Linked DNA regions of Canis lupus familiaris. The protein of the gene in region 3 purifies or fractionates together with the protein of the main gene of each other region. This does not show direct contact. Links are inferred from orthologs where the notes say so. Each region holds a gene or a part of one and is shown on either strand. Other genes may lie near its edges.

Region 1 (3,936 bases), on a different chromosome or scaffold from region 3:
GGCAGCAGGATCCCTGCCATAATGGAGGATGTGAGCGATACTTAACATGTCAAACGGATGAAAAACCCACTTTCCATCCCACTGCCCAGTCTAACAACTTACCATTGTGCATAAGACATCCTTTCTTAGGGAAAATATTTTTATTTCAGCCATATAAGCAAATGGAAGATTTATCAGAAGACAAGCCTGGTGGAAAGCTGTTAAACTTCTAGGTTCCCCAGGTGGGGTCCCAGACCATCACCTGAGAACGTCTTGGAAATGCAAGTTACCAGGCCCTTCTCCTACACAAAAACTCTGCGGATGCGGCCCAGCAATCAAGGTTTTTTTTTGTGTGTTTTGTTTTTAGCAATCAAGGTTTTAACGAGCATTCTCGGTAATTCTGATGCACACTTAAATTTGAAAACCATTGTTCTAGGCTGTCCAGTATGTGACCTTTTTCCCCCTTATTATTATCATTATTTTCGCTCCTTGATCATCGGCATAATCCTGCCGGCAAAACAGCAGAATCTTAAACTGCTGAGGGCATCTTTGTCATCATTCGAAAGCGGCGAATAACCGACTATCCGCGCAGAGTGCGTGATGTGGAAGGTGCTCCCGGGGGGGGTGTGTTCCTCGCGGGGACAGGCCTGCCCCCGGGCGTCTGCGACCCAGACAATGTCCCCACGCACAGGTGCAAAAGCCTAGAAACCGGCAGGAAGGCGGAGCAGCCGGCTGCAAGCCTTTGTTCGCCCCAACCCTCCCGACCGCTCGCCCTCCGTCTGCCCGCGCGCTCCTCCACCCAGAAAAGCAGCGTCTCCAAGCGACGAGAATGTGTCGTGCCGCTCAGGACGTTTTCTACTGGGCCAGTCTTCCCCGGGGCCCCGGAGAAGACGCGGGGGGCTGCGGGGGGCTGCGGGGGCAGGCGCCGGGCGGCGAGCGCAGGAGGCACGGACGCCGCGGCGCTCCCGCAGCTCCAGGAGCCCCGGGCGCTCGCCCCGCCCCGCCCCGCCCCTCCCGTCCGGGAAAGCCCGGAGCGGACTCCGCTCACGTCGGGACGGGCGCCGCGGCCGGCGGGGCCACGTCACTGCGCATGCTCCCTCGCCCCTCCCGCTCGGAGCCGGAAGGGGGAGCGCGGGCGGCCTGGGCCTGGCCTGGCCGGGGCGGCGGCGCCGGCGGCCATCTTGGCTTCCCGGGGCCAGGCGGCGCGGGGGGAAGAAGTTGTAGGGTGGGGGCCGGAGGGAGGAGGAGGGGAGAGAGAGGGGGAGGAGGCCGCGGCGGGGCAGGGCGGGGACTGCCTGCCCGCCCGGGTTGCGGAAGTGGTAGCCGCTGGCCGAGCCTGCTGCTTGCTCGCTGCTGCCTCGGCTTCCCGGCTCCCCCCGGACGGAGAGGCCGGCCCGGCTGTGGATGGTCAGATAGCTCCGGCCCCAATCCGCACGGAGCAGACGGCGGCGGCGGCGGCGGCGGCGGCAGGCGAGGAGGAAGATGGCGGGACGGCTGCCGGCCTGTGTGGTGGACTGTGGCACGGGGTAAGGAGGGTGGGGAAACTGAGGCGGAGCTGGGAAGATGGCGGCGAGGGTGCGGGCGCGGGGATGCGCCGCGGCGGGGTGCGGCCGCCGGGCGTCGGGCTGCCGGGGGTGGGGCGCGGGGCCGGGGCCGCGGTGCGGCCGGGCGTCACCCGCGGGGGCGGGGGCGGGGGCGGGGGTCCCGGCGGGGTCCCCCCGGAGGTGCCCCCGGAGCCGCGGGCGGGTGGGCGCTGCGGGGCCCGGCGCTCAGCCTCCGGCCCCTCGGCTCCTCCTGCTGCCGGCGCGCCGGGGCCGAGCGGACGGGCGGGGGACGCCGGGCGGGTGCTCCGGGTCGCGGGGACCCCGCGCGGCTCGGGCCGAGGGCGGGGAAGGGGGCGCCCGGGCGCCGAACCTGCGAGCCGGGGCCGCGGCTTCCACCGGGCGGGCCGCGCGCCCCTCGTCCGACCCCCGGGCTTCCCCGCCTCCTGCGCTCGCACCGGTGAGCCACGGGCACATTTTAATTTGAGAGAGAAGGATGTCATGTGTTAACTCGTCTTGCCTCGGACAGAAAAAAAAAAAAAAAAAAAAAAGGAAAAAAAAAAAAAGTCCCCTAGTGAGCAAGCGCGCCGCAACTTCCTTAGTTTTCTCAAAGCCGCTTCCTGCTTTCAGCCCTTTATACCCTTATAAGGTAGTTTTTCATTTCCAACCTGAACACCTCGTATTAGAACTTTTAGGATTGAGCATATTTGAAATGGATTGAATTACGGGCCCTCGACATCAGTTTGTAGGGACTTGAACACAGACGTGCGAGTGTTTTCCGGGAAGGGGGGGAGAAGGGAAGCCCCAGGAAAGTCCTTGAGGCCGCGCGCTCGCCGGGGGGGGGTGGGGGGGGTGGGGGGGCCTCGGAGGCTGTGGGGCCGCGGGGTGCGCTTGCTTTTCGGGGGGTTCCAGTGCGCAGGGTCGCGTGTAGACGTGTAGAACGGCGTTGAAGTGTATGAATAGGCGTTTTGGGATTTTGGCACACTGTTGTTTTCATAGGAAATAGTCTGTACTTTAACGTGGAACGACTTGTTTCCCTTGCAGCGCTGGGAGGGTGTGTGTGTCCGTCCTGTGCTGATACATTGTTTCATTCCTAATTCGCAAAATAATACACCGAGGGGGAGTCGGTTATGAGAGGTAGAGTGTCAGCCCTTGCTCCCTGCCTTCTATCATCCAGCAGACCTTCGTTGCATCAAGGATTGTGTATGCCCCTCTTTCCATTTACTCCCCGTAAAACGGCTCTATTTTTTTTTTTAAAGCTCTAATCTTCATACTCACGACTTTGTTAGTGTAACAGTTTCAAAAATCCCAGCCATGCATGTGGAAACAGCCGATTTATTAACATTCTCCTATTCTCCTTTGGAAAATACCAGCCTACTTTTAGCCGTGGAACTTCTAAATGTATTGTTTTGATGGACAGCTTATTAAAGTTATTGTTTTTTTATTTTTATTTTTTGTATATATATATTTTTTTTATTGTTTTTTTTAATCCTAATTTTCTTGACTCAGGTCCCCCCCCCCCCCCCCCCCCCCCCCCCCCGATCCAGTTGAGGAGTAGTTTCATGCTTAGGGTCAGTTTTAAAATTAGATTTGTCCTGAGTGAGAAGGAATTTTCAAGTGTGGGGTGTTTTGTTTTGTTTTTTTAGATTTTATTTATTTATTCATAAGAGATACACAGAGAGGCAGAGACACAGGCAGAGGGAGAAGCATGCTCCATGCAGGGAGCCCGACGTGGGACTCTATCTGGGACCCCAGGATCACGCCCTGCGCTGAAGGCAGGCGCTCAACCACTGAGCCACCCAGGTGTCCCTCAAGTGTGTTTTGTTAAAGTGAGAAATACTGTTATATAATTAATATTTTATGCTTTAGAAATTATTGGGTTAATAAAATTAGTGTGGATAATTGTAGTGCTAATGGTAACTAGAATGTTACTTTTCCCCCATTTTTCCCCTTTTGAAATAAATTCTGGTTATTTTTGAGTTAGTATTCGGGTATTAATCATTGAGGTTGACTGTCCTTAGCTGACCTCCTCCTGCTAGGGCAACCCTGAATTTAAGACAGGCTGAGTGTCCGGGAGGTCCCCAAGGGCTTCAGTCTACATTTAGGATTATTTTTGTTTTAGTATTTCAATTATTACGTTACTATATTTTACCTTATTGCATTAGTTTTACTTCACAAGGTGAGGTGGTTTAATGGGCACTCATGGTTTAAATGGAACTGATTAGGAGTCCCCATTGTCTCCCACCTTTTTTACCATCTGTCAGAGCTCCATTTATTTTGGTCTTCTAAAGGTTTCATGGTCCTTTGTGGTGGCTATCTAATGCAACTCCTGGAAAGTTATACCTGCAGCTTTATTAGCACATAGAGGATGGCTCATTGAGCTTGGGCCTGCGATAAGCATATTTAAGTAAGGCCT
Region 2 (4,157 bases), on a different chromosome or scaffold from region 3:
AGAAATTCTGGTCTAGAGGCATACAGGTGAATGACTATCCTCAATCTGTATTTGAGCCAATAATGTATAAGTCTGTGTGCTGACTTAAATGTCAAGGGACTGATTTAAATGTCAAGATTTTAAAGATCATCTCTACCCCTAAATAGCTCAACTGGGTAGAGAACAAAAAAACCATATGATATAAAGGAGAATGAAACGGGACATAATCAAACTTACAAATTACATTTCCAGAAGAAATTGGTTTGGAAATAAAGATGAAAATAAGATTAGGAGGATTTTACAATAAGAAAAAGTAGACTAAGGATATTCCCAGTAGACAGACCAGCTTCTACCTACACTGGCTTATCTTCAGTTCCTTGTATTATCTACATTCTTTCTCATCTGAAGGCTTTACACATGCTGATTCATCTATACAGGACTTTCTTTCCTTTCTTGACTTAAGTCATCCCTTAGACCTTGGTGTATTCAGGGAAGGCCCCTTCCTTCCTCAGAGAGGCCTTTCTTGACTTCCTCCTTCATAGCATTTATTACAATTTACAACAATACATCCTTCGTATTTCAGTACAGTGATTTCTTTTTCACTAGACTGTAAGATTCATGCTTAACAGACCATGTCTCTTTATTCAAATCAACATACCCTGCACCTAGCTCAGTATCTAACATATGCAATGTCTTACTCCTTTTCTATACAATATCATGTGGAATACCGTAAGCAAGGTTAGAATACTGCAAAAAAAAAAAAATGTTAGGAGTTCCAGAAGTAGTGATGAGCAGTGTTGCTGCATACAGAAAGCATTTTAGATTGAGTAGATGCTGCTGCAATGGTAGCCTAGAGATTCATGGGTAATCTCAAATGCCAGGCTGCTGACTTTAGCTTTTCTTTTAAGGTAGTAAGGAATTGTTGGGGCTTTCTGAGGAGGAAGTTATCTGGCTTCACCAGTTGCATGGTGGTTCTGCAGAAAATGGACCGGAGGGAAATGAGACAAAAGGCAGAGAGGATTATTCAAGGAAGGGTGAGGAGAGCCTGGAGCAGTGGTGAGGACAAGCAAAGGGTATCACAAGAGCTGGACTGTCATAAATGTAGAGGATAATGGAATAAAAAACACCTTTCAATAAACTGTAGCTCACTCATATGATGAAGTCCTATTCAGCAAGAAAAAGGAGTAGTGACACATGCAACATGGATGAATCTCAAATGCATTATGGTTAATTAAGAAGCCACATTGGTTGGTTCAGTCTAATGAGTCTGTAACTCTCAATCTCAGGGTCGTTGGTTCAAGTCCCCCCCCACCTGATGAGTGCAGAAATTATTAAAAAAATAAACTTAAAAAAAAAAAGCCACATCAAAAGGTCTACATACTGAAGACTTCTATTTATATGACAATATAGAAAAGGCAAAACTATAGAAGGAAAAAAGAAATCAGTAGTTGCCTGGAATGGAGGAGAGACAACTGATTAACAGAGGGACTAAAGGGAGCTTTTTGAGAAAACATGGTTAATCTGACTGTAGTAGTGGTTACAGGATTGTGTTTGTCAAAACTCACAGATGATAAACTTAAAAAGGGTGACTTTTAGGTGGCAAGCCCCATGACACCTGCCCTTTGAAAAAATAAATGCATTCTCATGTAATACCTCAATACAGTTGACTTAAAAAAAAAAAAAATCCAAGAGGTATGGCCTCCATTAGAGAAAGAAAGAAAGAAAGAAAGAGAAAGAAAGAAAGAAAAAATAAAATAATAAAATAAAATAAAATCCAGACTGCTAGCTGAGGTAAGATGCCACAAAGCCAGGATAAGCAACATGGGGAAAGCTGGTTGAGAGAAAATGATTTTCGATCTGAAGGTGTGATCTGAAGGTGTCTTCAAGATATCCAGGCAAACCCTACAAGAGAGCTAGGAAGGCAGACTCATGAACCACCAGAATACACAAGGTCATGGAAGCCGGGAATGGACAGGCACCACTAGGGAAAATGTGAGGAGGAAGGTGGGGAACCAAAGCCTCGACTCCCAGGAAGACCGACATGTATCAGCTGCGAGGATTTCCAGGAAGGGAGGGATCCGTAGGACAGAGCTCTCGTACTATGGTTAAGGTTAACACGGTGGAATTCTAACCAGGAAGAGGTCTGGGTGGCGGCGGCATAATCCTTCCGTGGAGCAGAAGCAAGGCAGGGAAGTAAGCGAAGAGTGGGATAAGGAAGTGGAGACGCTTCCTTTGGAAAACTGTGGGGTCAAGCGGGCAGGAGAGGACAGGACAGTGTATTTAGCAAAGCTCTACCCTGGGTGAGGCGCCCTTGCTACGCCGGCCCTACTACGGGCGAGGAAGCCTACTGAGTGCCTTCAAGGCTCTCCCGCCGACCTCCCAGGCCCCACTCCCGGCGTCCTGTCGACGCCTCACAGTTCCCCACCTGGCCCGAAAGACAAACCACGAACCTGCGAGGCCTGCGTCCTCCCGGGGCGCCCCCCGCTCGCCCCTTCCTCACTTGGGCTCCCGCCCCGCCCTCTCCTCCCAGCCTCATCATGCCCCCACACCCCGCAGCAGCCCTCGGCCCCGGGGCTCTCCGCTGCAAAGCCGCCTCGCCCCCAGACCCACAGCGTTTGAGGCAAAACAGCGGGGGTCCCTGGCGCGGGGCCCGGCTCGCTCACCATCGCGGGCGCTGGCTGGGCCGGAAAGCGGAAGTGCGGAAGTGGCCAGCCCGCGACGCCTGCCCTTCCGCGAGGGGCGCAGCCTCGGTCTGCGCCCGGACTTCCGGACGGGACCACTATGCCCGAGCGGGGAGGGGGAGCCTGGGAGCCCCCGGTCCTTGGCAGGTCTCCCCGCTAGGACTGTCTTCACATCTTTAGACTGCGGAACTTTCGAATCGATGCGGGAGCTCATGCCGTTATCCACGCAGCTCTGGCTTGCGGCCCTGGCCCTCCTCTCGTCGTGCCCCGTAGTCGGGCAGTGGTGCGGCCCGGCCTCAGGTTGGGCACCATATTAGGACAAGGCGAGGCGGAGGAGCCCTCCGTTCCTTCCGGTTCTGCGCCCCTAGCCTCGCTCTGGGCCCCTCCTACCTGCAGCCCCCGGGGCTCCGCGGGAAGAGCTGCCGGGCGGAGGGCTTGGCTGCCGGGCCCCGCCCCCAGCCTCGGGCCGATCCCCAGAGTGGGCCTGAGGCCGAGCCCTCCCCCACCTGCAGTAGGCTCGCCCGCGGCCTGCCCACCCTTCCCCGCACGCCGCAGTGGGCTCCCGCCCGCGTCGCCCACCCCCGCGTCCTCTGCGGGGGGCCCGCCCCTGGCCAGTTCCGGGGCGGTTGCTCCACCAACCGGAACTCCCCGCCCCCTCCCGTGGCCTGGGGGCCGTAGGAGGCAGCAGGAGGCTGCAGTGAGGAGGTAGAGGGGGCGGGGGCCGCGTTAGGGGGTCCCCAGAGGACGGGGGCCCCGAAGGCAAGTCACTGGGGCGACCCGCAGGAGGGGCCAGCCACTAAACAGGCGCACTTCTGTGCCAGGCACTGAACTGGGCTCTTGACAAGCATCCTTTCATAATCCTCAGAGCATCCCGGGGAGGTAGGTACTATCGTGATCCCCATTTTACAGATTCAGACTTCTTATGGGGAGACAGACCCAGATTTCTTTGGTCCCCATTTTGTAGATGGAAAAACCGAGACTCAGGAAGGCTAAATAACACGTTTGGAGCTACATAACTAGAGAATGGTAAAGGCTGTGCCTGCCTGGCTTACCAGCCCATATTCTTAACCACTGTCAGCGGCCAAGAAAAGGGACCACGACGGGAGGGGGTGAGAGAAGAAGCGAGGAGGCACAGAGAACATTAGCATTGTAAGAATGGGATGTTTGGAGCTTAGAGGCTTAGCCAGACCCGGGAGCAGTAGGACAGAAGAGCATCAGAAAGACAGGGCAAAGACTCAAAACTATCTGGATTCAGATTGCCTCTTGGTAACCGTGGGCAGGTACCCACCCTTACAGAGTCTGAGTTTTCGTATCTGTAAGGTGTAGGTCGCCATTGTCCCTGCTCATGGGGTTGGGTGAGGAATTCAGTGAGAAGCCAGTAAAGTGTCTGTACCTGGCTTGATGTACAGCGAGTGTCCTGTGAGTAGGAGCCGCGCCATCAATCTTGTAGTTAGGTACCGAAGCCTGGCTTTCTCCTGGAGTCTGTCCCTGGATGGA
Region 3 (3,500 bases):
CTGCTCCTATTAAAAAAAAAAAAAGGATCTATCTGCTTTTGGCTCAGGTTATGATGCTGGGGGTCCTGGAATCAACCCCCATATAGGACTCCCAGCTCCATGCAAAGCCTCCTTTTCCCTCTGCTGCTCCCCACCCCCCGCTTGTGTACTCTCTGTCAAATAAATAAAATCTAAAAAAAAAAATAAATAAAAACCTTTAAAGTAACTACGTTATAAGCAAGTCAGAATATTATCTATTTTTCAAAAGGAAATTTTTTAGGTTCCTAAGAGAAAGTTTGTGAAAAAGTAATTTGACATTTAAGGATGGGTATTTGGCTTGATATTACAGCTCCTTGGCTTTTTTTTTTTTTTTAAGGTTTGTTTTTTTGTTTGTTTTTTGTTTTGGGGGGGTTGTTTTGTTTTGTTTTGTTTTGTTTTTGAGAGCACAAGAAGGGGGGCAGAAGGAAAGGGAGAAGCAGACTTCCTATTGAGCAGGGAACCAATGTGGGGCTCGATCCTAGGACCCTGGGATCACAACTCGAGCCAAAGGCAGATGCTTAACCAGCTGAACACCCAGTTGCCCCAGTCTCTCAGCTCCTAAACAGCAGAACATGATTGATTTTTAAACAGCAATTTAGGGGTAGAAACTGAATTAGTGAAGCCAGAGTAAGGACTGATCTCAGACAGAAAAAAAAAACTTTTTTTTTTTTTTTTAAGATTTTACTTATTTATTCATGAGAGACACAGGGAAGAGGGAAAGCAGAGGGAGAAGCAGGCTGAATGCAGGGACCCCGATGTGGGATTCCATCCCGGAACTCCAGGATCATGTTCTGGGCCAAAGGCAGGCACTAAGCCACTGAGCCACCCAGGGATCCCCAGAAAAAAAACTTTCAAGTGGAGCTAGAGTATCAGTTAGAACCTCCCATAAGAGGTTGTGATTTTCTCGGTTGTGATTTCTCTGTGAAAATAGTAATTCACAGCTTCACAGAGACGTAGTAAGGAAATTGAGCTATTTTACAAGCCAGACTTAACCCAAAGTGAAATCACAGGTCGCTGCATCTTTATTAAAAAAAAAATCTGCTGAGTGAAGTAAGTCAGTCGGAGAAGGACAAACATTATATGTTCTCATTCATTTGGGGAATATAAATAATAGTGAAAGGGAATATAAGGGAAGGGAGAAGAAATGTGTGGGAAATATCAGAAAGGGAGACAGAACGTAAAGACTGCTAACTCTGGGAAACGAACTAGGGGTGGTAGAAGGGAAGGAGGGTGGGGGGTGGGAGTGAATGGGTGACGGGCACTGGGGGTTATTCTGTATGTTAGTAAATTGAACACCAATAAAAAATAAATTTAAAAAAATTTAAAAAATAAATAAATAAATAAATAAAGGCTTTTCAGCGTTCCAAAAAAAAAATCTAAGTCATTTCAAACCACGTATTGTATTTTAAAAGTTAAAGTAACATGTAATCTGAAACTCCACAGGCAGTATCCAGAGTTAATCCATAAATATAGTTACTCCTGGGGATCCCCTGGTTGCCAGGAAAGTTCAGAATGGACTGCTGTGATAAGAATGTCAAAGCCTAAAAGAACAGAAAGGACTATTTATGGCTCCTCTTCCTCTATGCCTTCCTCTCTGGAGAAGACCTGGTTGCCACATGTGTATCACCTAGCACACCTTTGTTAGGCCCTTTGGTAGGCTTGAGGTGTGGATAAACTGAAATGGATGTTCTTCTTTTGTAGGTGGGTAAGCAAGCACATTAAAAAGCCGATTCGCTCCACGGTCCTCAGCTTGGATTGGCATCCCAACAATGTTTTGCTGGCAGCAGGATCGTGTGATTTCAAATGCAGGTGGGAGCAGATGAGAATTGGCAAACAGAATTGATCTGTTCCTTGTTCATCTTTCAAGTATTTTTCAGGTTCCTTTTCCTTGCAAGGTACTGTGTTAGGCACTGTTAGGGACTCAGAAGTGAAAGGAGCTTGGGATCTAAGAAAGCAAACACAGATATCACAGAGAAGGAAGGAAGTGGACTGGGAGGTATAGTAGGAGGGAGCTGTGAGGGTGGGGCCGGGGAAATTTTCTTTACGCAGAATATCCTGCTTGGAGCAGAGGTATAGAAGCCCTCAGACTATGATATTATTTCTCATTTCATAACCCAGGCAGAGATTTGGCAAATTCCTGGCTGAAGCTAAGATGAACAAAACATAGCTGAACAATGCTGTGCTGAACTATTTGCTGTTCTTTTTTTTTTTTTAAGATTTTATTTATTTATTCATGAGAGAGAGAGAGAGAGAGGCAGAGGGAGAAACAGGCTCCATGCAGGGAGCCCAACATGGGACTTGATCCCAGGTCTCCAGAATCACAACCTGGGCTGAAGTCAGCGCTAAACCGCTGAGCCACCTGGGCTGCCCTGCTGTTCCTTTTCAGTTCAAGTTTTTTATTTGTTGTTAGCGTGAAGCTAGAAGAAACACAGCCACTTTGCTAAGAGCTGTAAGGCTCATACAGTGTAATTGCTTTTTAAAGCTATTTTTTGCCAAGAAGGCTTTTTTTCCCCTTAGCCAAAAGAAAAGCAAATAAATGTTACTTCACATTGACAACACGGTGGGTTGGGAAATGGGATGTATCTTTCTTTAGTAGGCTATGTGGAGAATTTCCAGAAAACATGGCTTGTGATTTATTATATCCAACAATATCCAAGGATTTGGTGGTTTGTTTGTTTGTTTGTTTTAAAGATGTGTGTGGAGGGGATCCCTGGGTGGCTCAGCAGTTTAGCGCCTGCCTTTGGCCCAGAGTATGATCCTAGAGTCTCAGGATCGAGTCCCACATTAGGCTCCCTACATGGAGCCTGCTTTGCCCTCTGCCTCTGTCTCTGCCTCTCTCTCTGTCTCTCATGAATAAATAAATCAAATCTTAAAAAAAAAAAAACAATGTGTGTGGAAATTTGGCTGTGGAATGGGGATACATCTGGAAAAAGATTGGTTTTTCTATGTAAGAACCAGTGTAACAGCATCATCTGGTAGAATTCAGGAGTTTTGTTGTCTATGATGTGTTACCCAGTCATTCTAGCTCCCTTAAAAGTTGGAATTGAATGATCCATACACTTAGATTATTGGACTGTGTCTAAAAAATCTGGTTCTGAAAATGGGTTGCCAATTCTTTTGATAATATTAATTTCCAGAAATAAACTTTGATTTGTGGTCCTTTGGGTAAGAGTTCGGTTTTTGACTGAGAACCACCCAGCCTCTGATGACTAGAGCCGTGGCTTTTGTGATGCTGATTTAAACCCCAGTGATTCTCATACTCATAAATAGAGAGGATAAACTGATGGTTGCCAGAGAAGGAAGGTGAGGGGATGGGCAAAACAGGTAAAGAGGAGTGGGAGGTAGAGGCTTCCAGTTATGGAGTAGTCACAAGGAGGACCGGGAACATGGTCAAGGGTGTTGTACAGTGACATATGGTAGCTATACTTGCAGGAAGCATGGCATAGGGTATAGAGAAGTTGGGTCACTATGTCGTACACCTG

What was found. Proteins that work in one complex are often made in the same cells at the same time.
Region 1: the proteins of ARPC1A (region 3) and ACTR3 purify together in Homo sapiens (affinity purification with mass spectrometry; 7 studies listed by BioGRID and IntAct, counting the BioPlex papers as one, with this or other methods). This does not show direct contact. The link is inferred for Canis lupus familiaris from reciprocal best matches to the Homo sapiens genes ARPC1A and ACTR3.
Region 2: the proteins of ARPC1A (region 3) and ARPC4 fractionate together in Homo sapiens (co-fractionation; 7 studies listed by BioGRID and IntAct, with this or other methods). This does not show direct contact. The link is inferred for Canis lupus familiaris from reciprocal best matches to the Homo sapiens genes ARPC1A and ARPC4.

What each region holds. Positions count from the first base shown.
Region 1 is NC_049240.1:36,616,670-36,620,605, reverse strand, and holds the start of ACTR3 (actin-related protein 3), read left to right. Parts: upstream 1-1,136; 5' UTR 1,137-1,461; coding exon 1,462-1,505; intron 1,506-3,936. UniProt on the Homo sapiens protein: ATP-binding component of the Arp2/3 complex, a multiprotein complex that mediates actin polymerization upon stimulation by nucleation-promoting factor (NPF).
Region 2 is NC_049241.1:8,520,228-8,524,384, forward strand, and holds the start of ARPC4 (actin-related protein 2/3 complex subunit 4), read right to left. Parts: upstream 2,801-4,157; 5' UTR 2,646-2,800; coding exon 2,643-2,645; intron 1-2,642. UniProt on the Homo sapiens protein: Actin-binding component of the Arp2/3 complex, a multiprotein complex that mediates actin polymerization upon stimulation by nucleation-promoting factor (NPF).
Region 3 is NC_049227.1:10,303,564-10,307,063, reverse strand, and holds part of ARPC1A (actin-related protein 2/3 complex subunit 1A), read left to right. Parts: intron 1-1,719; coding exon 1,720-1,827; intron 1,828-3,500. UniProt on the Homo sapiens protein: Probably functions as a component of the Arp2/3 complex which is involved in regulation of actin polymerization and together with an activating nucleation-promoting factor (NPF) mediates the formation of branched actin networks.